Elephas maximus indicus: one gene and its partners. The protein of the gene in region 1 interacts with the protein of each later gene in a pairwise test. Links are inferred from orthologs where the notes say so. Each region holds a gene or a part of one and is shown in the gene's direction. Other genes may lie near its edges.

Region 1 (10,636 bases):
AGCTCAACGAACCCCATATAGGATAGACCCCAAAAGAAAAACACCAAGGTATATCATAATCACACTCGCTAAAACCAAAGACAGAGAAAAAAATCCTGAGAGCAGCTTGAGAAAAACAAGAATTCACATACAGAGGAGAAACAATAAGACTAAGCTCTGATTGTTTGGCAGAAACCATGCAGGCAAGAAGGCAATAGGATGACATATATAAAACCTTGACAGAAAAAAATTGCCAAACAATAATAATATAGCCTGTAAAACTTTCATTCAAATATGATGGTGAAATTAGTACATTTCCAGGTAAACAGAAATTAAGGGAATATGTAAAAACCAAACCAAACTTACAAGAAGTATTAAAGGGAGTCCTTCTGTCTGAGAACAAGCAACATCAGACCACAACCTGAATCTAGGATGCAAGATTGTACCAGCCAGATACCAACGCAGGAAGTGAACTCTCGAAGACTATCCAAAACCAAAAGAATTGCAACAGGGAACCGGAAAGGTTAATATGTAAATGACAACAACATCAGAACAATAAAAGAGGGAATAAATGGTGTAGGTATTATAGAATTTTCTAATAGAGAGGAAGTGGTAACTTTGGTGAAGGATAAGACAGTACACAATACTGGTGAAGCCAGCACAACCTGTATAAGGCGAGGTTGTGGTAGCTCCACAGACACATCCAAATTCCCTGAGGGACCAAATTGTGGGGCTGAGGGCTGTGGGGACCATGGCCTCAGGGAACACCTAGCTCAATTGGCATAAGAGTTTATAAAGAAAATGTTCTACATTCTACTTTGGTGAGTAGCATCTGGGGTCTTAAAAGCCTGTGAGTGGCCATCTAGGATACTCCACTGGTCTTGCCCCTTCGGGAGCAGGGAAGAATGAAGAAAACTAAAGATACAAAGGAAAGATTAGTCCAAAGGACTAATGGACCACATCTACCACAGCCTCCATCAGACTGAGTCCAGTACAACGAGATGGTTCCCAGCTACCACCACTGACTGCTCTGACAGGAATCACGATAGAGGGTCCCAGACAGAACTGGAGAAAAATGTAGAACAAAATTCTAACTCAAAAAGAAAGACCAGTCTTGCTGGCCTGACAGAGATTGGAGAAACCTTGAGAGTATGACCCCCAGACACCCTTTCAGCTCAGTAATGAGGTCACTGCTGAGGTTCACCCTTCAGCGAAAGATTGAACAGGCCCATGGAACAAAACAAGACTAAAGGGGTGCACTAGCCCTGGGGCAGGGACTGGAAGGCAGGAGAGAACTGGAAAGCTGGTAATAGTGAACCCAGGGTTGACATGTTGTGGGGTTGTTAACCAGTGTCATAGAACAACGTGTGTCCTGTCTGATAAGAAAACAGTTTGTTCTGTAAACCTTCAACTAAAGTACAATTAAAAAAAAAAAAGAAAGAAAGAAAAACGTCAGCTGGCCTCTACTCAAGTTAAATATTTAGGTCACCTTCTTTTTGTCAAAGGTGCCACATTAAACTCTAGCCAGGAAGCAGGAATCCTTAACTTCCCACCTCCTGAAACCAAGAGGCAGTTGAGAGGATTTTTAGGGTTATGTGACTATTGTTGGATATAGATACAAACTTCTCATTGATAGCTTGACCCTTGTATGAATTATTAAACGGAAATGCACCTGGTGTCCTGATTTTAGGTTCAGATGAGGATAAAGCTATTGATAATTTAAAATGTGCTCTGCACTCTGCCCTGGCTTTAGAATATCCCAATTACAATTTAGATTTCTTGCTGTTCATTCATGAGAGAGAAGGGACTGCCTTTGTGCTAACAGAAAAACGTTAACAGTCAGCAAAGACCTTCAGAGGATTATAGTTTAGAACTAGATCCAATGGCTCATGCCTATCCCCCATGTTTGTGAGCTACCATAGCCCTTGCAAAATTAAAAGAAAATACTACTGATATAGCAATGGGAAATACTCTTAACGTTTTTGTTCCCCATGGAGTCAATGCTACGTTAAATTCTGGGGTAACCCAGCACATATCCACCAGTTATATGGCTTTCTATAAAGCTATTCTACTTTCCTCTCCTCACATTCACATTTGGCATGTCAAAGCCCTAAATCCAGCCACTTTATTGGCCTATCATGGACTCATCTGAGCTGATGCATGACTGCCGAAATCTTACTGAATAGTTATTAACTCCCAGGCTTGATTTACAAGAATGTATTTTAGAGAATCCTGATCTTATTTTGTTTGTAGATCAGTCATATCTTAAACCATCCCCAAACTCCTCCAAATTTCAGGCTGGCTATCCAATAGTCTCCCCTACTGACGTAATAGAAAAGGAACCTCTCCCTAAAGCCACCTCAACCCAGCAAGCAGAGCTATATGCTCTGACCCAAGCTTGTGTGTTAGCTGAAGGCCTAGTAGCCAATGTTACTTTGGACTGTCAATATGAGATTAAAGTTGTACACAATATTGGACTGTTATAGGAACAAAGAGGACTTTTAACATCGTCTGGGACTGAAATTAAAAATAGCCAGCTCATTAAAGAACCATTAGATGTATTATTATTACCTAAAAGCCTACCTATTATTAAAACACAAGCCCACCAAAAAGAGCTTACTTCTGTGGAAATGAAAGGAAACCATTTCACAGATCATATGGCAAAAAGACAGCTACCTAAATTTGCGCAAATAAAGTTATACTGACAGAAATAATTGGACCACAACTTAATGAAATTTCTCTATTTTCAAAGGATGATTTAATAACTGAACAAGAAAATGCAGAACTTGAGAAAAAGCTTTATAGACAAAGGAAAGATGCACAGTAGACCCAATATCTGTGTAATGAGTTGAACCAAATAAGAGAATTGTCCTTCCCTCATCCTTACAGTATCCAATGCTTCATCTATTACATGAAGCTAGTCATTATGCTATAGATAAAATGATACAAATTATGCAAAATTATTAAAATTATTAGTGGGGTAAATTTCAGAAAGCCACTACAGATATTCACAAGGCTTGCCCCACAAGTCCTTTATTCACTCCTGGAAAACACTGAAATACTCCTTTGGTCATTTTCCACAACCCTGAGGGCCCATGTTAGTATGGCAAATGGATTTCATCCAGTTGCCCCCTTCTCAGGGTTATCAATTTGTTTTAATAATGATTTGCATGCTCTCTCACTGAGTAGCTCTTCCTTGCAGAGAAGCAACTGCCACTTTTGTAGCAAAAAAGGTCTTGGAGAATATAATTCCATGTTGGGGTGTGTCATGGATTGAATTGTGTCCCCCCAAAATATGCATCTACTTGGTCAGGCCATGATTCCCAGTAAAGTGTGGTTGTCCTCCATTTCATGATTGTAATTTTGTTAAAGAGGATTAGGGTGGAATGGTAACATCCTTACTAAGGTCACACCCCTGATTCAATGTAAAGGGACTTTCCCTGGTATGTGCCCTGTACCACCTTTTGCCTCACATGAGATAAAAGGAAAGCAAAAGCAGGCAGAGTGGGGACCTCATACCACCAAGAAAGCAGTGCCAGGAGCAGAGTGCATCCTTTGGACCGGGATTCCTGTGCTGGACTGACCCAGTGGCTGCAACAGTGGGCTCAAACGCAGCAATGATTGTGAGGATGGAGCGGGATGAGGCAGCGTTTCGTTCTGTTGTACATGGGGTTGCTGTGAGTCAGAACGTACTCGAAGGCACCTAACAAAAATGATGCATGTTGACCAAGACACTAATTGAGACACAAATTCTTCCAATAATGTATTTTGAAGGACATTCTCAGTGAATGTTTAGTTCTAAGTGTCCATAGATCATACCTATTTGGGGTCAAATTGGTTTTTTTAATTATTTCAAGACAGTGAGCTCCACCAGAGCAGGGGCTTACTTAAGCAGTCTATGCTTAGCACAGTCCCAGCAAGTACTAGGCTTGAAATAAATGGACTATACATGTTATTTCAAGAAACACTAATATTTAACCCGAACTTCATTTTAAAAATGAGGATATAATCATCTCTTCTGCCTTCCTTCACAGGTTTTGAAGATCTCGTAATATAATTCATACGCAAGTTCTTTGGAATATGAAAGGCAGATAACAGTACTAAAGTGGACAGACGGTTATATTTTTTATTGAGGCATGATTTTCATACAGTAAATTTCACCCTTTTCAGTGTACAGTCCTGTGAGTTTTGACAAACGTATACACCACTATCACAATCAAGATATAGAACTGTTCCGTAATTCCCCTCCCAATTCCTTCATGCCCCTTTGTGGTCAACCACTCTTCCCACTTCTGACTCCTGGCAGCCATTCATCTGTTTTCTGACCCTGTTTTTGGCTTTTCCAGAATGTCATATAAATGAAATCTGGCTTCTTCCACTTAGCATAGTGCATTCGAGATTCATCCACGTTTCTGTGCATATCAGGAGTTTGTTTCTTTATTGCTGAGTGGTATTTTATCTGAGTAGTATTTTATTGTATGGCTATACCACATTTTGTTTACTGACTCACATTTTAAGACTAGGAGGAGAATAATCAACATAAATCAAAATCCCCACTGTTCACTTTTCTGCCCCTTCTGTTCTGACACCAGCTGCGCATGCAGCACTCCTTCCTCTGGCTCTAACCATCCAGAGCTAGGTCAGAGCTCACAGATTAAAGGGCACAGTCCTCCAGACTAAGCTGGCCCAAGATCACAGATTCCAGCCACAATCTTGGAAGTCCCTAGGGCCCCCTTCACTTCTGACCTGCTGGTTACAAATTCAGGGTTTTCCCACCACCCCTTGTAGATGCCAGCTGCAAGCTTTGGGGTCCCCAGCCCCCTCACTTCTGATCCACTGGCTCCCACTATTCCCTTGGGTATAACACTTCTATGGAAAAACTCATAGAACTCACAAAAAGCACTATACATATGATCATAGTTTTATTACAGGAAAAAAGCACACAAATGAAGAGATGCATAGGCTAGGTCTAGGAGGGGTGCCAACACCAAGCTTTTGTGTCCCAAAAAGGGATGCGCTACCCTCCCAAGTGTATCGATGTCTTTCATCGACCAGGAAGCCCATGGAGTTTCCATGTCCAGAGCTTTTACTGGGAGTTGTTATGCAGGGTTTATCTTAGGAATTAATAGAGGCACACTCAGGTGCGTCATGCATAAACTCATTTAGTCATGGCAAGACATGTAAATAAGACCTCAGAACATTCATTCAGAACCACAGAATCAGAATTAACAATTACAATGTTAGCTCAGTGATTACAGTCCAAATTTTTAGACTTTAGGACATCTCAGGAGGAAGGCTTACTCACTGTTCAAATTCGGCTTTGAAATATAGTAGAATAATTTACAAAAACAGTTTCTTTCTCTTAAATAAATTTTCTGTAGACTAATACTATTATAAGGCAATACATATCAAGAACATATTATTTAGCAAGCAGAAACCACCCAGGGGTTAGAGAACAGAATAGTGCACAAGTCAAGGGCCTTGTTTCAGAATCCTACTGGAAGGGATGAAAGAAACTAAGGAAGGGGATGTTGTTGGGTGTCATCAGTCGATTTTCAACTCACAGTGGCCCCATGTGACAGTAGGACTACCCCATACAGTTTTCTAGGTTGTAATCTTTACAGGGGCAGATCACCAGGTCCTTCTCCCTTGGAGCCGCTGGGTGGGTTCAAACCGTCAAACTTTGGGTTAGCAGGAGAGCTATTAACCACTACATTACCAGGGCTCCTTGCGGGAAAGGGTAGGGGTAAACAAATAGGAGTTAGTCAAAATTTAGCAGTGAGCAAGAGGCTGCAGTAAAATTGTACCTTTTTTTTTTTTCCTGCAAATTCTTTGGTTAAGGGCCAGAGAATGGCTGAGTTTAGAAGGGGCACAGCAAGAAAAGATGGGGGAGGAGAGGATTTGTTGGAGTCAAGCAGATGTTCAACTTGATATAAAAACAAACTTTTCCACAAACAGCTGCTCACTCAGAAAAGGTGGACTTGGGTGGCCCATCACTGGCTGTGATTAAGCCTAAGTGGCTTATCTTGTTAGGAAGGTAAGTAAACAGTATCCCTGTACCCTTCACTCTGCAAATCTTTATTAAAAGCTTACTTAGATTATTAAAATCTGGGGCCGGGTGAGAGGGACGGGAAGAAAGCAGCACAAGGTCTGGCGCAGAAAGGCTGTGAAGAGGAATTGAATCTGATCTGCCCTACTGAGTTGTCAAAGCAGTGCTTCTCACACTTTAATGTGCACACATATCCCCTGGGAATCTTGTTAAAATGCAGATTCTGATTCTCAGGTCTAGGAGGGGGCCTTAGACGACGCCAATGCTGCTGGTGTGTAGAACACAGGTTGAGTAGCAAGTTTCTAGAAGGGAATGAGAAATGCATATAATTACAATACAAACACTTCTTCTTGTCCTAAGACTAATATTTTCTTTATTTCTCAAGGTTTATCTCATACTTCTTCAAATATTCCCTAGAGCCCCAATCGGCTCACTGCTCCTTCCTCGTCGATCCTACAGCACCCAGCTCAAACCTCGCGCAATTACCACTACCTCCTTCTGCTGGAATTGGAAAGGAAGCCGTTTTCTAATTCCCTATAGGAGCCCACCTCTTCGGGATCGCCTCTCACCAGGACGCAGCTCAGAAAACGTTCTGACGAACCTGGGCTGGGTGAGCGGGACGGGAGGAAAGCAGCACTGCTCCTCCAGGTACCAAACACTGGAAGTCAGGGAAGTGGCCGCCGACTATCGTTCATGGGCCGTCCTCTCCGTAGGGTAGGCCCAGCGACCGGTCTCACCAGCAATCCCGGTTGCAGCACCTCGTCCTGTGCGGCGGCCCCAGCCCGAAGCGCCGGTGATCGCAGGGCTGGGAGTCGGGCGCCCCCGCCTGGCGCTGGAGGCCGCGCGCGTCCGCCCACCATTGAGGCGGCGGCGACGGCTAGAGAGGCGGCCGGCCCCGGGGCGCCGCGGGGGCGCGGCCTCAGGGAACGTGTGTGGGGCGTGCCCAGTGCTACTGGCCTTGTAGCCATTTTAGGAGGAAATCCGGATCGCTACCCCGAGGCGCGGCTTCAATTTCAATAACTTTATTGGGGGCCTTATCCCGCAGAACAGCCATTGCACCAGCGGTCCCGGGAGGAGGGAGCGCATCGCGGGAGGTGATTGGGGTGGGGGATGTTTGCAATGAGGGCAGTGAGCGCGGGGATGCGGGGCAGTTCCCGAAAGCGGATTTCCTGAGGAGGGGGGCGGTGAGGGGACCTAGGGATTTAGGGGCGCTCTTTTTTTTTTTTTTCCTAGAAGCTAGAGAGGGACGGGATCCCTGGGCACGGCTTCCCTGGGGCGGGGATTCCCTGCTCGGGTCCCAGGGCGCAGGGGCGGGACCGGCGTCGCTCCTGACGCAGCAGCTGGGGTGTCCCCTCGCCCCATGTCGTTCCCCGCGGCAGGTGGCTCCCGACTCGAGCCGCAAACATGGGAAACACCACCAGCGACCGGGTGTCCGGGGAGCGCCACGGCACCAAGGCTGCGCGTGCCGAGGGTGCCGGCAGCCATGCCTCGGGCAAGGAGCACAAGATCATGGTCGGGAGCACCGATGACCCCAGCGTCTTCAGCCTGCAGGACTCCAAGGTTGGTGGCAATGCTTCAGTGGGCTTGGTTCGCGGGCTCCTCCTCCCTTTCCTGGTTCGTTCTCATCACACTGACTTGGGTTACGGTGTTTTGAATCAAACGGGTTTTTCAGGGTCACAGGGTGTTGATGGTAATTTCTCTTGCGGTGCTGCCTCAAAATAGGATGAAGAAACAGAGCTCTTATTTTTACGGCTTTCTGATTAATCTTTTAGTCACATTTTTAGGATGAGGGATAATAAGCCCCCACAGAATCCTTGGTTCTAAAAGGCACGGTTGCTCACTTCTAGACCATTGCTAAATTATGAACTGTATGTAAGCCCTAACGGAGAACTTCAGAGGGTAGGTTGCCAGAATTGCTGACCATAGGTGACAGTTTATCAGTTTGTCCTGAAATAGGTAAATATATTTTCTTTTTCTTGAAAACTTCTATGTGTTTGTATCATTTTTGCCATAGGAGCTTAGCACACCTGTTCCTCTTCCCCCACTGGTGTGGCTGTTAGCAGGAACCCATTGCTTATTTGAATAATCGAGGAGCCCAGGTGGCACAATGGTTAAGAGCTCTACTGCTCACCAAAAGACTGGCGCTTTGAATCTACCCAGCCGCTCTGGGGCGATCTCCTCCCGTAAAAATTAGGGTCCGGAAAACCGTATGGGGCAGTTCTGCTCTGTCACGTGGGGTCACTCAAAGTCGACTCCACTGAATCTAACAACAAGAACAATCCTAATTTGGGGGACCAATAAAAGTCATCATTTGGTCGACTAATAAATTTCATCCTGTACTTCACAGTTGCTATTGGCTGAGGCTGCGCTTGCTTAATACCCAGCTGCTTCTCATGGGAAAGCAAATGATTCCTGGACTGCAGGATTTCTCCACTTCCCAGTAGTACCTCAGAATGTTGCCATGGCTAAAAAAAACGACAACCCACAGTTGCCCTGAGACCTCCTTCTCAATTCCAAGGCAGCAACTTGTGTTCATCCTACAGAAAGGACAGATGGGCATGACAGCATTGTGATTACTATGCTAATGTTTCCAATCACTTTAGAGCTTTCCGCATTAAATACGTTCATCCAGATAGGCTGACTGGGCTGAAATAGAAAAATGGAGGGATTGAAGAGAATGGGATGTGTTTCTTATTACCTCATCATTTCCCACAAAACTGGAGTTTTAGACAGTAAATAGAGTATTATCTGCCACATAGGTAGCATGAAATTTGGAGTCTATAGTTTGTGTATTTCCCTGGAGCCCAATTGAGAAAATAATCACAGAGGGAGAAGTCCAAAAAAAAAAAAACCAAACCCACTGCTGTAGTGTCTGTTCTGACTTATAGTGACCCTATAGGATGGAGTAGAACTGCCCCAGGGAGAAGTGAGGGTAATTGAGCATTTCTAGGAGTTTTGTCTCTGTTCTTTTCTTCCCTCTCCCACTTCAGGACTTCTCTTTCATCACTTGGGCTGTCTAAGCAGCCATCTGAATTTACTTCATCAAAGCTTTCTCAAAGATGGTTTTCCTTATTGTATTTTTACCCTTTTCCTACTTGGATGACTCAGTATTTAAGTATTTGTCAAACAGTGCCTGTAGCAATCAGTGTCCTGAATAAAAGCCAGTGCTCAGTCTGCATTGGGGCCTATTTTGGATCTTCAGTCCCTCACTTCGATCTTGTTATCTACGAAATGAGAGAATTGGTTTTGATAATTTTAAGGTCTCTTCCAAATGTAAAATTTTATACTTCTAAATCTACCCTCTTCGCTTCTTCCGTCAACATTTTACTTAAACACCTTTGAATTATAGTTCTAATTGTTGTTTTGCCTCTTTTCCTGGTGGTTTTGCTATTTCACTTGGAGGAGACAATCTTTCTGTCAGCTGCACTCATAGCTACCACATAATGTCATATGTGGAAGAGCTTCACTCCAAAGTGAGGCATATTAATAGTTTGTAGCTTTCAAATTCTAAATTAGAAATCCTAAGACATAAAAGTACTGATAGCGAAGGTGGCAGTGGTGCCGGCCTTCTTTAGTGGACTAGTTCAGTGGTTCTCAATCGTAGCTCGTTAGAATCACATAATGTTTTTAAAAACATCTTATGGAAAATTTACAGAGTAGGGAGAACAGTATAATGAGTCCTTGTATACCTTTCACCCAGTTTAAATAATCATTAAGTCATGCATAAATTTATATCATCTTTATTTTAATCCACACTCCCCCACCAGTTATTTTGAAGCAAATTCCAGACATGATTTCAGATACTGTTTTACCTATAAATGTTTCAGAATCTTTCTCTAAATGTAAGGGGTTTTTTTCCTTTGTTTATTTTAATGTAATCACATTATTATTACCTGGGAAGCTTTTTTTTTTCTTTTTTAATTGTGCTTTAAGTGAAACTTTACAAATCAAGTCAGTCTCTCATACAAAAATGTATGTACATCTTACTATATACTCCTAGTTGCTCTCCCCCTAATGAGACAGCACCCTGCTACCCTCCACTCTCTTTTTGTGTCTATTTGGCAAGCTTCTGACCCCCTCTACCCTTTCATCTCCCCTCCAGACAAGAGATGCCCACACAGTCTCATGTGTCTACTTGATCCAAGAAGCTCACTCTTCACCAGTATCAATTTCTATCCCATAACCCACTGCCATCGAGTCGATTCCGACTCATAGCGACCCTACGGGACTCCAGTCCAATCCCTCTCTGAAGAGTTGGCTTTGGGAATGGTTCCTGTCTTGGGCTAACAGAAATTCTGGGGACCATGATCTCCAGGCTCCCTCTGGTCTCACTCAGACCATTAAGTCTGGTCTTTTTACTAGAATTTGGGGTCTACATCCCACTACTCTCCTGCTCCCTCAGGGGTTCTCTGCTGTGTTCCCTGTCAAGGCAGTTATTGGTTGTAGCTGGCACCATCTAGTTCTTCTGGTCTCAGGCTAGTGTAGTCTCTGGTTTATGTGGCCTTTTCTGTCTCTTGGGCTCATAATTACCTTGTGTCTTTGGTATTCCTCATTCTTCTTTGAGCCAGGTGGGTTGAGACCAATTGATGCATCTCAGATGGCCGCTTG
Region 2 (9,926 bases), on another chromosome or scaffold:
AGTTCTTTTTGGTACGGTGACCCTGTATACTCCTTCTTCTTTTGATGCTTCCTTTCAAATTGCAACTCAAGGCTTGAATTTTTTCTTCTGTTCCTTCAGCTTGAGAAATGCCAAGTGTGTTCTTCCCTTTTGGTTTTCTCTCTCCAGGTCTTTGCATATTTCACTGAAATAATTTACTTTGTCTTCTTGAGCTGTCCTTTGAAATATTCTGTTCAGCCCTTTTACTTCATCATTTCTTCCATTCGCTTTAGCTACTCTATGTTCAAGAGCAAGTTTCAGGGGCTCTTTTGACATCTATTTTGGTTTTTTCTTTTTTTTCCTGGTGTTTTAATGACCTCTTGCTTTCTTCACATACGATGTCCTTGATGTCATCCACAACTTGTCTGGTCTTCAGTCACTAGTGTTCAATGCATCAAATCTATTCTTGAGGTGGTCTCTAAATTCAAGTGGGAAATACTCAAGGCCTTTTTTGGCTGTCAAGGATTGTTTTAATTTTCTTCAACATGAACTTGAACTTGCATATGAGCAACTGATGGTCTGTCCCACAGTCGGCCCTGGCATTGTTCTGACTGATGATATTGAGTTTTTCCATCATCTCTTTCCACAGATGTAGTCAATTTGATTCCTGTGTATTCCATCTGGCAAGGTGTACATGTATAGCTGTCGTTCATACTGTTGAAAAAAGGTATTTGGAATGAAGAAGTCATTGGTCTTCAAAAATTCTATCATGTGATCTCTGCCATCATTTCTATCACCAAGGTGGTATTTTCCAAACACCAATCCTTCTTCTTTGTCTCCAATTTTCTCTTTCCAATTGCCAGTAATTATCAAAGCATTTTGACTGCATGTGTGATCAATTTCAGACTGTTGAAGTTGGTAAAAATCTTTAATTTCTTCATCTTTGACCTTACTGGTTTGTGCATAAATTTGAATAGTCATATTAACTGGTCTTCTTTGTAGGCATTTGGACATTATGCCATCACTGACAGCCTTGTACTTCAGGATAGATCTTGAAATGTTCTTTTTGATGATGAATGTGACACCACTCCTCTTCAATTTGTTATTCTTGGCACAGTAAGCCATGATTGTCTTGATTCAGATGGGCCAATACCAGTCCATTTCAGCTCAGTAATGCCTAGGATATTGATCTTTATGCAGTCCATATAATTTTTGACAACTTCCAATTTTCCTAGATTAATACTTCGTATTTTACATGTTCTGATTATTAATGGATGTTTTTGGCTGTTTCTTCTCATTTTGAGTTGTGCCATGTCAGCAAATGAAGGTCCTGAGAGCTTGACTCCATCCATGTCATCAAGGTCAACTCTACTTTGAGGAGGCAGCTCTTCCCCAGTCATACTTTGAGTGCCTTCCAACCTGAAGAGCTCATCTTCTGGCACTATACCAGACAATGTTCTACTGCTACTCATAAGGTTTTCACTGGCCAATTTTTTCAGAAGTAGACCACTAGGTCCTTCTTCTTAGTCTGAGTCTGTAAGCTCTGCTGAAACCTGTTCACCAAGGGTGACCCTGGTGGTAATTGAAATACCAGTGGCAAAGTTTCCAGTATCACAGCAACACGCAAGCACCACTGTACAACAAAATGACAGACACATGGTGGTATATAGAGGATAGGATTTACAACACATCACAAAATGGAGGATAATTATATCACATCACAAAATGGACAATCACACAATACTGAGAATCATGGCCTAGCCAACTTGACATATATTTTGGGGGGATACAGTTCAATCCATGACAGCTGTGATGAATGAGGAAACCAGCCTGAGGAATATGAGCTTGGGAGATAACTGGGCATGTTCATTTACTATGTTATGTGTTTAATTTCTATATTTTTAATGAACATTTTGTTATGCTACGTTCTAAGGAAACTGATCTAAGTGAGTACAGGGATTTCTTTTTGATGAGTAGGCTACAGAAATCTAGGTCAGAGCTGAACTGCTCAGGACAGTAAGCAATTTTACCCATTACCACTCAGCCATAGCAATGATCATAAAGATGGAGCTGGAGTAGGCAACAGTTTGTTCTGTTATCCATTAGATCACTATGAACTGGAGCCATCTTGACGGCCTCTAACAACAACAACCACTCAGCATCTCCTTTAAACAAATACTGAGTAACTATTAGGGAGCACAGTCTAGAAAAGGGGCTTAATTAGTAATGCGGCCTAGAGAGACAAAGTAGCACCATATTTCAGAATTCGTTTGGCTGCAAATAATAGAAGACCCATCTCAAACTATTTACAATAAAGGGATGATAGTGGCTAAAGAAACCTGAAAAATAGAGGTAAGGTGGGTGTCAATGTTAATTCTATACTTTTTTCTTTTTTTTGGTGAAACTTGCTTTGATGATTAAGGTTATGTGTCAGCTTGGTTAGGCCATGATTCTCAGTGGTTTGGCAGATATAATGTAGTCACTATCCATGATGTGATCTGTTGTGAGCAACCAATCAATTGAAAGGAGTTTTTCCTAGGAGGTGTTGCCTGCATCCAATGCATATAGATGTTCTGGCAAAGCTCTTCCTCTCTCGATCCTGCATCTGACTCCTCATCCTCTGACCTCCAATTCTCGGGATGTGAGCCAGTCGTCTGCTGTCTGACCTGCAGATCTTGAGTTCATCAGCCCAGGCAACCATGTGAGACAGAAGAAGCCTCCAGCCTGATGCCTGATTCACAGTTTTGGGACTTGCCAGCCTCCAAAACTTAGCGAGCCATTTCCTTGAAATAAATATGTCTTTATATATATACATATATATACACACATATCTTTTTGTGTATATATTTACATATATGTACACACATATCTTTGTGTGTATATATTTACATATATATACACACACACAGTTTTACTACTTTAGAAACTTCAGCCTAAGACACCTGCTCATGAGAAGGGTTGGTCTTCAAGTTGGCCCCTCATTGTAGGAAAATGGGTATAGCGTTTCATATACCAGAAAGTATATTTCTGCATCTCTAATTAGTGAATAAATAACCCATGTTATCTTAGGGTATGGGCCCACATTTGATCTCCTTGGCAAGGCCTGGAATGCTCTGCACTAATCGGTCTCATCTGTCTAGCTCTGATCTTATCACTGTGATAAGGACATAATAGTTCTTATTGGCTTAGGACAATCTGGGGTAGCATCTAGAATTCTTTGCTGTCAAACCTACCCAAGCTAGCCAGTAGCTGCTATACAGTGGGGGAGGGACAGAATGGACACTGAGGAAGTGATTACAATGTATACTACAAACAAGTCTCGGTGTGGCCTTGCTTCTCTTACAGTTTTATTCATATTTCAGTTGGTCTCTCTTATGGGTTATAAGCTCTTTGGTGGCAGTGCTTTTGTGTGTTTTATTCATCTGTCTATTCTATCAGCCTCTAGCCCACAGTGGCCTTCATTTAATGTCTACTGAACAACATAAATTATACTGAGGTGTAAACCAAGGCATAATAACAACAAGCTAAAATCAAGAATAAGGCAAGATCACAGAATTAGTGGTGGAGAATTTACTCTAGACAGTATAGGTAGTACACATGGTTCATTCACTCCTTTATTCATTAAACAAATACAAGGCCTACTATTTATTAGGCACTCCAGTCTAAAAAACAAAAACCCGTTGCTGTTGAGTCAATTCTAACTCATAGTGACCCTAAACGACAGAGCAGAACTGCCCCATAGGATTTCCAAGGAGTGCCTGGTGGATTCAAACTGCCAGCCTTTTGGTTAGCACTCATAGCTCTTGAGCACTACACCACCAGGGTTTCCACTACATTCCAGGGGGTTCAAAAATTTTTTTAGAATAAAATTTTTTAAGCAGTTATTTTTACTATTTACATAATAATCACTGGAATACAGCTGACTTTCATTATTTGCAGATTTTATTTGCTAAAATTTATTTGTAACCCCAACATCAATATGGTGCTTTCCTGGTTATCTGTAAACGTGTACAAAGTGGCCAAAAACTTGAGCCACCAGATGTGCACATTCCTAGCTGAGACTGAACAAGATGACTCTGTGCCTTATTGTTTTAGCTCTCATACAGTAAACAAGTGTCCTTTTAGCTGTCTATTTAGTGCTACATTTTTCTCATTTTTGTGCTTTTGGCTGGTTATATTGTTGTTTAAAATAGCCTCCAAGCCTAGTGCTTATGTGCTATCTAGTGTTCCTAAGTGCAAGAAGGCCTTGATGTGCCTTACAGAGAAAATACGTGTGGTCAATGAGCTTCATTCAGGCTTAAGTTATAATGCTCTTGGCCATGAGTTCAGTGTTAATGAATCAACGATATATACTAAATAAGGTGTTTTTTAAACAGAAAACACACATAAAACAAGGTTATGTATTGACAGATTGACGAAAATGTGACCAGAGGCTTGCAGGAACCTAACCCTGTATTTCCCTGGAGCAATGGTTCAGTGTTCCCAAAGATTTTATAGAACGCCGCTACCACAAATAACAAGAATTGACTGTACCCTATACTTACCGTGGATAAATGCTATCAAGGAAAAGTTCAGGGTACTATGAGAGGTCATGAGAGGGATATGAATTAAAATGGGGCTAGGGAAGGTCTTTCTGAAGAAGTGACACTTCAACTGAGACCTGAAAGATTTACAGAAGTTCGAAAAGAGGATGAAAGTGGGAAATTATTCTTGGCCCAGGGATTTGCATTCACAGGTTAAAACATAGGGAAAAAAAGTCTGGTGGAGGAACTGAAACATGGGCAGTGTTTCTGGAGTGAGGGGGAGTGGGAAGTAGCTAGACAGGAGACAGATTCAACACGGCTCTTTGTAAGTTCCACTAAGTTTTCAAGGCCTTCCTTGGATGGGTTCCACCCACATCTTCAAGAAAATTTGAACTCTGGGCTCAGTTCAGAGAATTTTCGGATACCAGCTTGACTCAGCATCCTCTTTGTCTCTCATCCTTTCATCAGCATGTTAGGGGTGCCATCAAGCTTCCTTCCAGCTCCTCTGCCATGGCATTAGTTCTTCCCTAGCTATCTGATTTCCCTGACCCCTCAACTTTTTATCAGGGCCCTTCTGAGCGCTCTCTTATTTCACTTCCACTCTCCCCTCACCCCCCAGAGTCTCAATTGTGCAGTCCATGACATTCCCTCGCCCTTCAAAGGCTGGGCCAGGTTCCTACTTGAGGATGTTAGCAGTTTAAAGAGATCTCCCCAATCCTGTACCGTTAGATACAACAATAGCTTACCCAACACCCATATTCAGATTGTTCCGCCACGACTACTCTGAGGAATGCTTTTATTGCAGCTGCTTCCTCGGTCCACAGCCACTGCGTGGAAGGACACCATAAGAATTCTGCCGAACTGCTCCTGTCACAAGTCCCGTCCATCTCTTCCTCTCTGCCACTTCCCCGGGCCAGATCCTCCTTAAGCCTGCCGGTAAGGCTGCAGTCGCTGCTGCGTTTCACGGAGTCGGGACCGGCGTCGCGATGTGGAGGGAAGTGACAACGAGGGCTGAGGAAGGCAAGGCGACAGAACCAGACGCAAGAAGACGTGCGGGTCGCAGGAGAGAGAGGGATCTAACGCGAAGAGAGCCGCGCGCAAGAGCGTGGGAGAAGGCGCGGGCGGAAGGCGGTGGCCGGGCTGGGCAGGGGAGACCGGGGGCGGGGCAGCGGCGCGCCGGGGGCGGAGCTCCCGTGCCAGTCACGTGAGGGTCCCGGCGGCGTCGGCGGCGACGGCGGCGGCTGTGGCCGCGGCGTCTTTAGCGGCGCCCAGTGCAGGATGGTGCTGGAAGCGGCGGCGGCGGCCCTGGTGGCGGCGGCGTTGTTGGCGGCAGTGGGAGGGGGTGCTGTGGTAGCAGTAGCGGCAGCGTCCGCGGCTGGTATAAAATGGCGGATTTCGAAGAGTTGAGGGTAAGCAGGGGCCAGGAGTGGAGCGCAGAGGCCGGGGGGAGGGGAGGCGGGGAAGCCGCAACGTCGTCTGCTGCCACCTTCTCGTTGCCGGGACCGGTTGGCCGACCCCGACTCCCGGCGCGCGTCCGAGCCGGCGCCCAAGTGGGCGGGGGAGGGGAGCGAGTCGGCGGAGGACGCCTGGGCCTTGCGGGTGCTGTGGGCCTGGGGCCGAGGGCGAGCCCGCCTCTGGGTCCTGTTGGCGAATCCAGGCACCTGGCGCGGGGGTAGGGGCCGCCCTGGGGAGGGGCACGTGGGACCCGACTTCCCCGTTTAAGGTCTGAGGTAAAAAACAGCGTTTTATTTTCCACCTTCGCAAGGGGTGTACGTGTCTATGGCGATTGAGAAGTCTACATGCCACTTACTTGGAGGAAGACTATTTTCTGAAAGGTGAAGTTGCGCTCGAGAATGTTTCTCTCCTCTCTGTGGCTGATGATACCGTGTAGTCAGGTCTGTCACAAGAAAAGGCCCCTTCCTCCAACCAGTGTTTCCTCCACATATTGGAAGCGTGATCTTTTGGGAGCCTTGCCTTCAGTAATCGATATTTTCTTGGTACCATGGTAAGAAATCTAGAAAGTCTGTGTTGTCATGAGTTTTTTTTTTTTTTTTGTCAGTGAATTTGCTTTGCTCTTGAGGAAAAAAAAATTTTTTTCCTAGCCTTAGAGCAAGGTCATAACTTGATAGTTATCTTTGTATAGTAGACATTTGTAATGGAGTATAATGGAGGTTAGCAGAATTTTTTTTTTTTTCCTTCAGACTGATAACCTTCAGAGTCCTTAACTGAAAGAAAACTAAGTGTGACAAATGAGCCGGATTTATTTTTTATGGTCGCTATGTTTTTTTTTATGTCCGGGTTTATGTAAATAGAATATGTAAGGACGGGAACCCTGATACTTAAAAATATATATTTCAAAATAGGAATGAATGTCAACTTTAAGTTAACTGCAGCCAGTTTGCGTAACATAGACTATGATGTTAGGGTTACTTTTTTGGAATAAGAAGGAAGAAGAATCTGTTAAAAGAGTCAGTTTTGTATGTTACTTTTCGGTGAGGGATCTGGTGGAGGAAAGTCATTTGTTACCTGGCTAGTAACTTACAGAAGAACATATTCTTGGTTTTGGTCGAAAGGAGATTGTTGTAGTTTACATAATGCCTGCCATTTGTCCCCCACCGCCCGCCCCCCCCAAAAGGAATTAGAATGCAGTAGAAAAGCCATGTTCATGCATTTTATGATGGTGTAGTGGTTAAGTGCGACGGCTGCTAACCAAAGGGTTGGCAGTTCAGATCCGCCAGGGGCTCCTTGGAAACTCTATGGGGCAGTTCTGCTCTGTCCTGTAGGGTCGCTGTGAGTTGTAATCCACTCGACGGCGCTGGTTTTGGTTTTTGGACTAGTTTATATAGAGGACCATGATAAGAAAAGGATGTTCATATTGCCAAGTTCAAGTAAGGGTTTTAGTGGCTGATGAACCTCAGGTTGGAGGTTTTAACACCTGTAGAGCTTTTGAAAAAACCATGCTTGAGCTTCACTTCTGTAAATCCATGTATTAGGTTTAGAAGACTGCATTTTGAAATTATTCTCACCTGCGGTAGTAATTTTTGTGTAGTGACAAATATTTGCAAATTTTTCTCTTCCTATTATTTTTATTGATGAGAACTTTTCCAGAACTTGTGTTAGACTTTTATAAATGTTGTTGAAGCTTAACAAAAAAGCAGAGGATTTATTTACCAGTACAGGGCAGAAACGGTGCTTACATTGGAGTGGAACCAGGAACTGGAAAGTGGTCAGAAACCAAAGAAACTTTTCTCCCTCTTTCTTTCTCTCCATTTTGTTGTGTGGATCAGCTGTCTTTGCTTCTCCCTGCACTTGATAGAAGATGGCCCTTCCCTTACAGTTGACTTCAGGTGACCGACAGAGACTAACCAGGGAGAGTTCTCAGAGGAGGGGAGGATATGGGCTGGGCAGATGCTTGAAAAGTTATCCATGTTCATCTTTGCCTTAGCCACTTTAGCAGCTGTGATGGTTAAGGTTATGTGTCAACTTGGCTAGGCCATGATTCCCAGTGGTTTGGCAGGTATTATGTAATTATTCTCCATTTTGCGATATGATGTGAACAGCCAGTTTGTTGAAAGACCATTCAGTCGAAAGCCAATCAGTTTCCTTAGGGGCGCAGCCTGCAGCCAGTATGTATATATGAATGTTCTGGCAAAACTCTCTCTTGGATCCTGTATCCTATCGGTCATCCTCTGACTTCTGTTCTTGGGACGTGAGCCAGCAACTTGCTGCCCGATCTGCAGATCTTGGGATTCCTTAGCTCCCGCAGCCATGTGAGCCAGCAGCCTTCCGCCTGACCTTCCAATTTTGGGTTTGTTGGCTACCGCAACCACGTGAGTCAGGAGAAGCCTTTAGTCTGATGCTTGACCCATGGGTTTGGGACTTGTCAACTTCTACAACTGCGTGAGCCGTTTTCTTGAGATAAATTTATATATATATATATATATATATATATATATATATGCGTGCTTCATTGGTTTTTCTTCTCTGGAGAAAAACGTTTGGTACTGAGAGTGGTTCTAGAGGGGAAATTCATAAGGAGGATGAGTTTTCTGAATTGTTTCTCAAGCCTGGCTAGCCTTAAAGGTGCTGATGACTGTCTCTAGTAGTAAAGAGGACACTGTTAATCCATGGCATGAGGTGGCCATAGAAATACACAAAATAACATCACCCATGGTAAAGTATTTGTGAGAGATAAGGTTCTGGGTGATCGCATATTTGATATTTTTCTACGGTTTCATCCAAATGAGAAGTATAAGCTGGTTGGTCGGTCGTGGTTTTGCTGGACAAAGTGGTGAAAGAACGAGTTGAGCTCAGGGCTTCAGAGTCACAGCTTAAAAAAAAATAAGTGCCATATAAAAGACCTGAAAGTTCCCACTTGAGCCCTGAAAGAAATCACCTTTCTTGTAGTAACAGAGCTGATGCTGCCAAAAGCCAAACCCAGAGTCTTAAGAGTGTCTGAATTACAATGCCAGTTGAATTTGTAACCTTGAATGATGTCTGAAATTAAAGTGAGGACACTGACTGGGAAGAAATGGGATCCCAAAAAGTGGGATGGGGCACATTGGTAGATAATCAGGAAGCTGGGGACATTGAGCCCCTAAATTCCATTAAATCACTCCTGCCAACAGAACTAGCCCTCTTACTCCCATCTGAAGAGATTCCGCCATCTTTGTTTGCTAAGCTCCCTTCCTTAGTTAAACCATTATCCCTTCCACCCCCATCTGTTGAGTTAACCCAGCTGTGTCTGAAGAGCTGTTGAGATACTGCCGGCGGCGTTGCCTAAGACAGATGCCTTACAAAACATTGCTGAATGTTCCCCAAACCACCCCTGCCAGCATTTTTGCTTCTAGACCTATAACTAGACTCAAGTCCCAGTGAGCCCCAAGAAGTGAAGTACAAAGTATGACCCCTGAGGAAATATGCTACACTCCAAAAGAACTGCTTGATTTTTCTGATATATACAAACAGGAACCTGGGGAGTATGTGTGGGAATGGCTATTAAGGGCATGGGATAATGGTGCAAAAAGCATAAAGTTGGACCAGTCTGAGTTTATTGATATGTGATCACTAAGCACAGATTCTTCATTCACTGTTTTTGCTCGAGAAGTTAGAAAAAGATCTAATAGCTTATTTGGTTGGTTCACTAAAGCATGGATTAAGCGGTGACCTATACTAAATCAAGTTGAAATGCCAGACCTGCCTGAGTTTATTGTAGAAGAAGGTATCCAAAGACTTAGGGAAATTGGCATGTTAGAATGCCAGTAGCGTCACTATGAGTTGGAATCTACTCGACAGTAACAGTTTGGTTTTAGAGTGAATTTATCAGGTTGGATCCACAGACCCACACATGGAGTACCCTGAGGACACATGTTTTATCACAATCGTGAGAAACAAATTTATAAAGAGAGCTCTAGTGTCCTTGAAGACTACTGTGATTGCTGTTTT
Region 3 (10,727 bases), on another chromosome or scaffold:
TCTTTCTCCTGCTTAACCATTTCACCACTATGGCTCCTTAATAAGTCAATATACCTGCTGCCATCGAGTCGATTCTGACTCGTAGCAACCCTATAGGACAGATTAGAACTGCCCCATAGAGTTTCAAAGGAGCGCCTGGTGGGTTTGAACTGCCAACCTTTTGGTTAGCAGCTGTAGCTGTAAACCACCACACCATGGAAACCAAAAAAAAACCAAACCCGTTGCCATCAAGTTGATTCTGACTCATAGCAACGCTACCAGGGTTTCCAATAAGTTAATGGTGGATACATAATAGTATCATTAAATAAAACACTAAATTCAATTAAAAAAAGACAGAAAAAAATTAAAAAGGAATCAAAGAATAGAAGGGGAAAATACAAAACAAATAGTAATATGATAAATTAAACCTAACCATATTGATAATTACATTAAGGATAAATTGTCTAAATACTCCAACTAAAAATCTGAAATTACCAAATTAAGTTAAAAAAAGCAAGACCTGACTACATGCTCTCTAAAAGAAACCCACTTTAACTGTAAAGATATGGATAAGCTAAAACTAAAATGATGGGGAAAATAGACAATGCAAATAATAAAATAAAGCTGGAGGGGCTACAGTATACCAGATAGACTTCAGAACAATAAATATTATCATAGACAGAGTGATATTTCATAATAACCAATTCATCAAATCAATTCGCCAGCCTTAAATCTGTATGCACCTAGCAACAGAATTTAAAAATACACGTAGTAAAAATTAATACAGCAGAAAGGAGAATTAGTCAAATCCACAATCCTAGCTGGAGATTTCAGCACTTCTCTTACTAATTGATAGAACACACAGACAGAAAACCAGTAATGATACAGAAGAATTGAACAACTTTATCAATCAACTTAACCTAATTAACATTTATATAATACTCAGGAGAACAACAGCAAAATGGACATTCTTTTCCAGTACACACATTCACTAAGATAGACCTTATTCTGGGCCATAAAACTACTCCCAACAAATTTACAAGGATTAGAATAATAAAAAGTATGTTCTCTGACCAAAATGGAATCAATAATCAACACGAGTGTTATCTAGAAAATACTCAAGTATTTAAAAGTAAACAACATAATTTTAAATAATCCAGGTGTCAAAGAAAAAATCAGAAAGGACATTAGCACATGCTTTGAACTGACTGAAAATAAAACACAACATATTAAAATTGGTGGACTGTATCTAAAGCAGCATTTCAAGAATAATATATAAAATTTGAGGCTTTTATTAGAAAAGAAGTTCTCATATCAATGTTTTAAATTTCTACCTTAATTAGAAAAAAAGAGAAGGAAGAAAATAAAGGGAAATACAGAAATAAATGAGACAGAAGACAGAAAATCAGTGAAACCAAAAGCTGGTTCTTTGAGAAGATCAATAAAATTGATAAACTTCTTTACAGAAGACGCAGACATTTTTCTCTTGCTGCTTTCAAGATTTTCTCCTTGTTTTTTAACTTCAGCATTTTTACTATGATGTGTATGTTTGTAGATCTCTTTGCAGTTACCCTACTTGGAGATCATTGTGTTTCCTCGATATGTAATTTATTGTTTTTCAGTAAGTTTAGGAAGTTCTTAGCCATTATTTCTTAGAATATTTTTCTTCTCCCTTCTCTCCTCACTTTCTGGTACTCTTACTACGCATATTCTGGTACACTTAACGTGTTCTTGTCCAGCACCGTTCTTGTCTAACACCATTGCCCTCCTCCTGTGATCAGTGGATGCAGCTTCTCTGCTAGGCAGCCGCCTTCTCTGCCAGGCAGCCGCCTTCTCTGCCAGGCATGTGCCATAACTCAGCTTCTCTGCCAGTAGCTGCCCTCTCTGCTGTGCAGGCCTCTCTGCTGTTGGGCTTTTGGCCATTGGGCTCCCCACTGTCAGGCTCTCTGCTGTTGACTTCTCTACCACTAATTGGCCCAGCTAATACCCTACCCCCAGATGAAAAAAGGAAACCCAGAAGTTCCCTCAATCTCTTCCCCCCGGCTCTGGCTCCAGGTAATGCTGGGCCCTCCCCCACAGAGCTAGCCTCATGCCTAGCCCCCAATCATATTAAGAAGTGTTCATATTCACTCCAGGACACAGGAAGAACCAGCTGTTTGCCCCCCAAGTCATGTCAAGGAGCAGCTGTGTAAGCTGCCCTCCCCCCATCATGTACACACACACACACACACACACACACACAGGCTCTGGTCGTGAAATTGAAATGTGAGTGTTCCCGAGACCCCTATACACTGCAAACTTGTTCCTGGTGCTCTTGGTGGCTATGCCCAACGTGCAGCACGCTGGCCTGGCTCTTCACCTCCCGTGTCCACACAGTAATCTTGTGCCCTTTGGTGCAAATGTTGACGACAGCCCCACATGCCTCCTTCTATGTTCCTCAAAGCTCTCCCGTATCAGACACAACAGTGTCTCCAGAGAAGGTCCAGCTCGCTGTGGCGCTGGTGCTTGGCGAGGCTGACCAGCAAGTGGCCACCCTGCTTAATCCTGATGCTTAATCCACATGGGATGGATGCCATCCTTGAACAGAGTGTAGTTGCAACCAGTAGAGTTTACTGGCCAGCTGGATGTGACTGTACGTCTCCCAAAAGTCCTCCACAGTGTCAAACTTGGTGACCAGATGCAAGACCTGGCTGAAGTCATTCTTAAAGAGCCACAGAGCCTACCTGTTCTGCAGGGTGTGCAATTCCAGCTCCACCTCCACTGCCTCCATGGGGCCTTCATCATGGGCCTTACTCCTCAGAGGGAGCAAAGCTGTGGAGGAATTCAGAGCCCCCTTCTCCTCTTCTACCAACACCCCCACTGCTGCCTTCTCCTTTTCCTCCTCTTTTCCTTTCTCCCACTTTGGGATTCTACTTTCAGCCTCTGTCCCAGCAGCAGCTCTCCACTATTCCTCTCTGCCATTAGGCAGCTAACTGGGCCAGCTCACAGCCAGTATAGCAGCTTGCTCAGCTCTCATAGCTGCTCTCTCACATTAGGCCTCTCCTGCATCAGCCCTCTCTGCTACTAACTGGCTTAGCTCACAGCCAATGTAGCAGCTTCAGGATCATTTAGCTCCCCTGTGGTTCTGCTTCTCTACCAGCCCAGCACTTACCCAACATCTCTTTCTCAACTGGGCGGCTGCTAAAACTTACCTATTTTAGCTGTTCGTATATCCCACTCCCCCTTAGTTACAAGGCAGGGCCTCCCTCACCAGACCAGAATTCAACCAAAGGTCAGTCACCCATGAGATGTCAATCAACTCAGGTCTTGTTAATTACCAGATAAAAGTCTCAAAGCATTAAGTTGTTTACAGCTTACCCAGGAAGTGTCAATCAACCTGGGGAATCCCCTGAACAAAAGTAACAAACCCTCTGGGGTAATCAACAACCTGGGAGTAGCACTCCTTTCCCCCAGGCTGTTTCTCCAAAGAACTAGGGCAAAAATAACAATTTCTGAGGGTTTAGGGGAAAATCTCCCAAACTCTTTTGCCAAAGAATCAAGGCAAAAAGCCACTCAAAGGATTGCACCACAGAGGGGGGCAGGAATAAATATGTACTCAAATAAAACCCCCAACTATTATACCCAGCGTGCCTGCCTTCTACTCCTAGGTATACACCAAACAAAAATGAGTATACATGTGCACCAGAAGAGAAGTAAGTACATTCATAGTGAAGTCATCAACTAATAAATAGGTTCTTGTCAAGCAGACAAGAGAATTAAAGCCAGCCAGATGCAGAGTTGGAAGGACAGAAAGATTTATTCGCAGTTTGCAAACTGGGAGACAGGCAGGGTCTTGTGACCTAAGGCTGCCAGCTCCCCCAACTAGGGTAGATTTGCACCTTTTATAGGGAGTGACATACATATGCATGGACAGCAAGGGGAGGATCTTCAGTCTTGCGATAGGAAGATGCACATGAAGTCCGCAAGTGTCGGATGCCTAATTCTTGTTGTGTGGTCCTAAAATGGTGATTTGCTTGCTACTGTCACCTCTGGAAGGTCACATAGCCAGCAAATTCATAATACGCCTGGGCCTCAGCCTCGCACTAGGAAAAGAGAAGAGACCTGGGGATTCGACCAATCAGGTTGAAGTGCTGTAGCAAAAATGTAGCAAGAGTAGGCTTTCTGAAAAACAACTATTATGGGATGGTTAATGACCTTCTCATGACCACCTGGTTCAATAGCAGCATTATTCTTAATAGCCAAGACTAGGAACAATCCAGATGTTCATGAACCATACGGTGGATTAAAAAAAAGTGCTACGGAGGTGAGATGAGATGGCAGAAAGTGATAGGAGCTGGTTGAATGGGCATGGTAAATCTGAGGTGGAAAAGAGTGTGCTGTCACAGTATAGGAATAGCAACTAGGGTCACATAACAATGTGTGCATAAATTTTTGTATAAGAAACTAATGTGAGTTGTAAACTTTCACCTAAAACACAATAAAAAAAAAATAAAAAGAAAATGTGCTATATCCACACCTACTTATATTGCAATGAAAATGAAAAAACACACAAAACATGATGAATCTCATATAGTATTTCTCCAAAGTAATCAGACACAAAGCAATTCATATAAAATTCAAAACACAAGCAAAATTAAACTATGAAAGTTTAGGGATGCATACTTCAATGGCAACTCTGTAAAGAAAAATAAAAAAGATTATCTTGGAAGTTAGAATAGCGGTTATCTTTAGTGGTAGAGAAGGGGGTAGTGATTGAGAGAAAAGGGGAGACTTTGGGATACTAGCATGCTCTATTTCTTGACTGAGGTGGTGTTTTCATGAATGTTTGCTTTGTGATAAACTGTACATTCTGATTTTGTGCACTTTTTTTATTTTATGGTTTATTCCCTGCTTCTCCAGCCAGACCTCTTCAGTTCTTGAGCATGCTTAACTTCACTTCTCAGGGCCTTTGCACTTCCTTTACCTTCCACTTGTCAAGCTCTTCCTCCAGATCTTCCAAAACCAAACCCACTGCCCAAGTCGATTCCAACTCATAGCGACCAGATCTTCCAAGGACAGGTTGATGCAGTTTGTGTCATTCAGGTTTGACTTCAAAAAAAAATTTTTTTTTTGTTTGACTTCAAATGTACCTTATTCAGCTCTGCCTCTTCTGTCCCTGGCCTCCAGCTTCTGCCCCCATTCTCCAGCATTTCCAGTTTGTTTTCATAGAACATATCCTTATCTGAAATTATATTTTGTTGCTGTTTACCTGCTTGGCCTTCAGCTCTAGAGTAAGTTCCCTTACACGCAAGGACCTTGTCGATCTTGTCCTCATATGTAATCCTGGTGCCTAAGACAATAACCTGGCACACGGCTTCAACTGAATGAATCTCTTCCTATTTCCATTGCACCGCACAGTGCCTGGCTCAGGGTATCTGTAGCACTTTATACTTCTCATTGGTATTTATCACAGATAAGGAGAGAGCTGAGTTAATGTTATTTATGGTCATCTTGGAAACCCTGGTGGTGTAGTGGTTAAGTGCTAGGGCTGCTAACCAAAGGGTCGGCAGTTCCAATCCCCCAGCCGCTCAATGGAAACTCTATGGGGCAGTTCTACTCTGTCCTATAGGGTTGCTATGAATCGGAGTTGACTGGACAGCACCGGGTTTGGTTTTGATTTGGTAGGGTCATTTTGGAAACCCTGGTGGCATAGTGGCTAAGTGCTACAGCTGCCAACCGAAGGTTAGCAGTTCAAGTCCACCACGCACTCCTTGGAAACTCCATGAGGCAGTTCTACTCTGTCCTAGATGGTTGCTATGAGTCGGAATTGACTAGATGGCACTGGGTTTAGTTTTTGGTTTTGGTTTATGGTCATCTTGAGCTCTGGTGGTACAGTGGTTAAGAGCTATAGCGAGCTGCAGCTGCTAAACCAAAAGGTCCACTGTTCCAATCTACCAGCAGCTTCTTGGAAACCCTATGGGGCTGTTCTACTCTGTCCTGTAGGGTCCCTATGAGTTGGAACCAACTCAACAAGTTTGGTTTGGTTTGGGTTATGGTCATCTTAGTTCCCTCTGTATAGATCATAACCTTCTAGAGGCGTTTTCCTAGGGAACTAGCACATCCACAAATGTTACATGTGTTCAACACCTGTTAAATTGAAACAAGGATGATATTTGGGAATTAACACATTTTGGCAAGGAAAAAAACAAGCGTCGCGGCAGTTGCGCTGGGAGACCCTTAAAGGAGCCAACACCCACGTCTGTGGTAAAAACCAGCGCCACCGATAGCCCGCGTAGGCACTCCACAGGACGCGTACAGGGTCTTCCCGCCCGCGCCTGCTGCATCTGGCGGTGCGCCAGCCAGGAAAGCCAATCATTGGGCCCCGCTAGCCCCTCGCGCCTGCGCAGAGGGAAGAGGCAAGTGCCGCGTGTACGCCGAACGCGACCCGCGCCTGCGCTTCGGTATCTGCTCTGTGATTCGTTCCTACCTCTAAGGATGATGTTATAGTTCAGTTTTCACTTTCTCTTTTATTTTTCTCATTTTCCTTCGGCCGCGAGGTTTTACTTCCGGTTGCTTGCGATCGTGTGTAAGAAAGTCGACATGTTACCTCAGGCCGTGTAGCGTCACGGGGTTCTTGCTTTTCTATGGCCTTTTCGGGGAAGAATTGGAGGCTTTGCTGAAAAGCGCGGGGGACCTGACGGCTTCGAGTCTCGTCCTTGACCCACCGTTCCTCCGTCCTTTGAGCACCTTAGAGCGGCGTCGATTCGAGAGCGACACAGAGTGGCTCAGGCGCCGCCGCCGAAACCGGGACTCGGGGCTTCCCACTCTCCTAAGTCGTCCCCGCTTTTACTCGTAGTCATCTCCTCCCCGCGTTCTTGGCAGAACGACAGAGAGAAAAGATTGGCTGTATTGCAGGCGAGCTGCAACGTGAATAGGCTTGGGTTCTTTTGAGGTAGAATTTTGGAGAGCTTTTGAAAACTTGGGGTTGAGATCGCCTATTGGAAATTCAGGAGAAGGGGAATATACAGAAGCTACTGGAGGTTTTTATTACAAAGAGGAAGAAAGACGTCACTTTAAAAAAATATATAATTCGAAAATATATGTTATATGTGTCACATTTGGCCAGGAGGGACCGAGAGAAAGGAAGCACGTGTGAAAGGAGCAGACAAAATCTAAAAGCATGGGAAAGAAATCGAACAATTCTCTGAAGTCTTCAGGGGCGGCGGCAGCACAAAGTACAGGTAAAACTTCATCGGTTTTGGGGCGCGCTGTTTTGTGCGCCTGTGTAGACGATTGGAAGGAAGGCAAAGCTCCAGTCTTCTAAGGCTAAATGCATGATATAGCTGCTTGGGACTTTTGTAGTTGCTGTTGGTGGCTTTGCTGTTACACTTTTTAAAATTATGATTGGTTTTGCATGTTTTTCTTGGATGACTGATGAACGCGTTGATGCATGTTTGCCCCAGGGCTTCTAGCCAGCTGCTCTGTTTGGACCCCCTGCTAAGAATTTGCATTTCCACCCCAGATGTACTGAATCACAATCTATCTTTGAACAAGATCCCCCAAATTATTTTTATGTATGGTAAGTCCAGTGGTTCTCAATTTATCATGCATAAGAATTACGTGGGTGTCTTGTTAAAATGTAGATTGTGATTCAGTGTATCGGGTGGAAAGGCAGATTCTCAGCTGCCAGCCCAACCGGAAGGAATCGGTTGAAGCCCTGAGCTGGAGTGAGAGGGGTTGCTGTTTTTCTGGAATCATCTCTCCTTTTTGAATAACTCGGTCTTTTGCAACCTGTCGGCATTCTCAGCGCTGCAAACGTAGATCTAAATTGTTTCTAGGAAGTCACCATTTTACTAGTTCGTATAGGGCTTCAAGGAACCCTGGTGGTGCAGTGGTTAAAGCGCTCCGCTGCTAACGGAGAGGTCGGGAGTTCAGATCCACCAGCCGCTGCAGAAAGATGTGGCAGTGGGCTTTCCTAAAGATTAAAAAAGCAACTAGACCAAATCTGTTGGGGTCCTATGGCACTCCTATAGGGCAGACTAGAACTGCCCCACAGGGTTTCCAAGGAGTGGCAGATGGATTCGAACTGCCAGCCTTTTGGTTAGCAGCCAAGCTCTTAACCGTTGGGCCACTAGGGTTCTCCATAAAGATCATAGCTTTGGAAACCCGTGGGACACAGCCCTTCTCTGTCCTGAAGGGTCGCTTTGAGTCGCAATCGACTTGATGGCAACCGGTTTATAGGGCTTCAATGTTCGTCGTTCTTCACGGTTTTGAGAGCAAAAGCGTAGAACAGTTGAAGCATTTGTTTTGAGTTACTCGTCAGAGGACAGCTTCATCCTCATGGGTGTTATGGCTATGTTTTAAATAGTTGGCAGATATTACTCACTTAGTTTGGACTCGCTAGAAAGTAATTTTATACGGTTTCTTTCTTTTTTTTTTAGAGCATACGCAGCAAAACTTTCACCAATTCAATTTCTACTTGTATTTTTCGGTGATATTGATCACACTCTGCACCTACAGGGTCTTTGTGAAAGTCTGGTGCTCAGGTTTCTTTCTGAAGAGACTTCAGGGCAGTGCTTGACCTATTTTTTCAGTAGATGTAAAAGAAAGAGGTCTATCTGCATGGAAGATTATTAAACAAAAAAATTGGGTAATGCACAAGGAATGTCATAATGTTGGCCTGTGCAACTCAGCATTTTGTCTGAAGGTGGCACTAAACAGCATTTTGTGGGAAAACGTGGCATGTTAACCTCATAATTTGAGGAAGATATTTTAAAAGTCCTCAGATTTCTCTTAATCACCACTTTATTTGTAATCTGTAGATTTAGGTAAGCTTTTCTTACCCTTCTTAATTCTCCCTGTAAGATAAAATTAGAATGATAAACTTTTTGAAAAATATCGTACCAAGTATATAACGTTATTGTGGTTTACCATTTAGTGACCTGAGGGCCCATGGTGTTCCAGAAGGATTAAAATGGAAAAAGGGGAGGATCGTGGTATTTAATATTACAGGATGTGAGGCTGGCTGTAACCCTGCCCACCAGGTTTGTAACAAAGCTAAGACAGGCCAGAGAAGAAATAAAAAGTGAAAATATGTTTGTCCACAATTATTTTAAGAAAAAGACAGTGTTTGAAAGGTTGTATTTTCTATTTCTGTAGAATTGATTTCTTATGAGAATGTGGGATAATATGCTTTTGAATTTCCCTCAGATGATTGTACCGTTTTATATTCACTCTCTCAAAAAGGTGTGTTTCTGTCTCCCTGCTAGCCAGCACTGTATGTTAACAATATATGTATTTTTATATTTTGTCAATTTTGTAACTGAAAAGACTATCTCATTTAAATTTTATATGATCCTTAATAAGAAAGTTGAACATTCTGCTGCTTCATACCCTTTGCTCATTTTTTATTGTGTTCTGAACATACTTCTCTGACTCATTTAGGTATTACCATACTGTTTTAATTATTGTAGCTTTATAATATATTTTGGTACTTTGTTTTTAAAAAAGTTGTGGGTTTTCCTTTTCCATTTTCTCTTGCAGATGAAATTTAGAGTCATCTTTTTACAAAACAGTCTATAGAAAATTTCATTAGGGTATAGTTTGTGATCGCATTGAATTTGCAGATTAATTTGAGAAGAGAGGTCCTTTGGAGTTTTTCTTTCTGGGGAATAGGTGTATCTCTACCTGTTTTTTCTCTTAGAATTTTTGTTGTGAAATATGCCATTGAGATGCCCAGTTTAAAAAAAAAAAAAAAATCTGTGTATCCTACTTAGTAAAACCCAGTCACCCAGTGCTGTCGAGTCAAGCATCACAAGTTCTTTAGAAGCCCTTTGTGTGCCTCTTGAAACAAAGCATTTCCCACCGCTATTGCTTTGGTCATCTTGGATTTTATCTTAATTATTGTCTTGCTTTTCTTTATACTTTTATCAGCTATATGTGTGACTTTAACCAACACATTGTTTACATTTGCCTGTTTTTGAGCTTTATTTAGAATCATATCGTGTATTTGTGGGTTGCTTTTGATCAACATTATGTTTCTGAAATTAAGCCATGTTGAAGCGTGTAATTCGGTAATTCAGAAACTTCTTGGTCTCAGGAGTCTTTTACACTTTTAAAACCATAGTAGATATTAAAAATGATAAATATTTAAAATATATATTACCCAAAAACCCAGTGCCGTCTAAAAATATATATCGGTACATTTAAAAATAATAACAACAAACCTATTGCATCTTAACATAGATAACATTTCAATGAAAATTAACTCTTTTCCCAAACAAAAAAAACTTAGGAGAGTGGCATTGTTTTACATTTTTGCAAATTTTACTATTTTAGACCAGTGGCTCATGTCTGTTTCTGCATTCAGTCTTTTGTAATATGTTGTTTTGGTTGAAGTATGTGAAGAAAATCCTGCCTACTCAGCTGTATACTTGGAAAAGGGAAGAATATTATAATAGCCTTTTCAGGTAACTATAGGTATTCTTCTTTGATAACTCATCAAAACCTAACAGTTTCTCAAAGGTTAGCTGCAGTGTAGAATTTCAAACCATATCAGTGGACTTTTTGTACTCTGTGACATTAAGATCCATTGGTCTGTCTTGCACTTTGAAGGAATCTTTCACACGTACGTTGGTCGTTTGGAAAATACTGGTTCACTGAATCATGCAGATTTGATTGGTGACATATTTCATTGTATAACAGTTTTAAGAAATGATATACATTAACATGACCACTCTGGGAACCATTTTAGGCTATTACAATTAGTG

What was found. The genes of interacting proteins can lie anywhere in the genome.
Region 2: the proteins of PRKAB2 (region 1) and PIAS2 interact in binary tests that used the Homo sapiens proteins (3 or more experiments, as listed by UniProt). The link is inferred for Elephas maximus indicus from reciprocal best matches to the Homo sapiens genes PRKAB2 and PIAS2.
Region 3: the proteins of PRKAB2 (region 1) and TASOR2 interact in binary tests that used the Homo sapiens proteins (3 or more experiments, as listed by UniProt). The link is inferred for Elephas maximus indicus from reciprocal best matches to the Homo sapiens genes PRKAB2 and TASOR2.

Annotation. Positions count from the first base shown.
Region 1 is NC_064821.1:159,054,524-159,065,159, forward strand, and holds the start of PRKAB2 (5'-AMP-activated protein kinase subunit beta-2), read left to right. Parts: upstream 1-5,959; 5' UTR 5,960-6,016; intron 6,017-6,413; 5' UTR 6,414-6,676; intron 6,677-6,980; exon of another isoform or gene 6,981-7,122; intron 7,123-7,407; 5' UTR 7,408-7,432; coding exon 7,433-7,588; intron 7,589-10,636. UniProt on the Homo sapiens protein: Non-catalytic subunit of AMP-activated protein kinase (AMPK), an energy sensor protein kinase that plays a key role in regulating cellular energy metabolism.
Region 2 is NC_064829.1:55,598,583-55,608,508, reverse strand, and holds the start of PIAS2 (E3 SUMO-protein ligase PIAS2), read left to right. Parts: upstream 1-5,691; 5' UTR 5,692-5,866; coding exon 5,867-5,890; intron 5,891-6,334; exon of another isoform or gene 6,335-6,483; coding exon of another isoform or gene 6,484-6,486; intron 6,487-9,926. UniProt on the Homo sapiens protein: Functions as an E3-type small ubiquitin-like modifier (SUMO) ligase, stabilizing the interaction between UBE2I and the substrate, and as a SUMO-tethering factor.
Region 3 is NC_064822.1:53,201,930-53,212,656, reverse strand, and holds the start of TASOR2 (protein TASOR 2), read left to right. Parts: upstream 1-6,492; 5' UTR 6,493-7,138; coding exon 7,139-7,199; intron 7,200-10,727.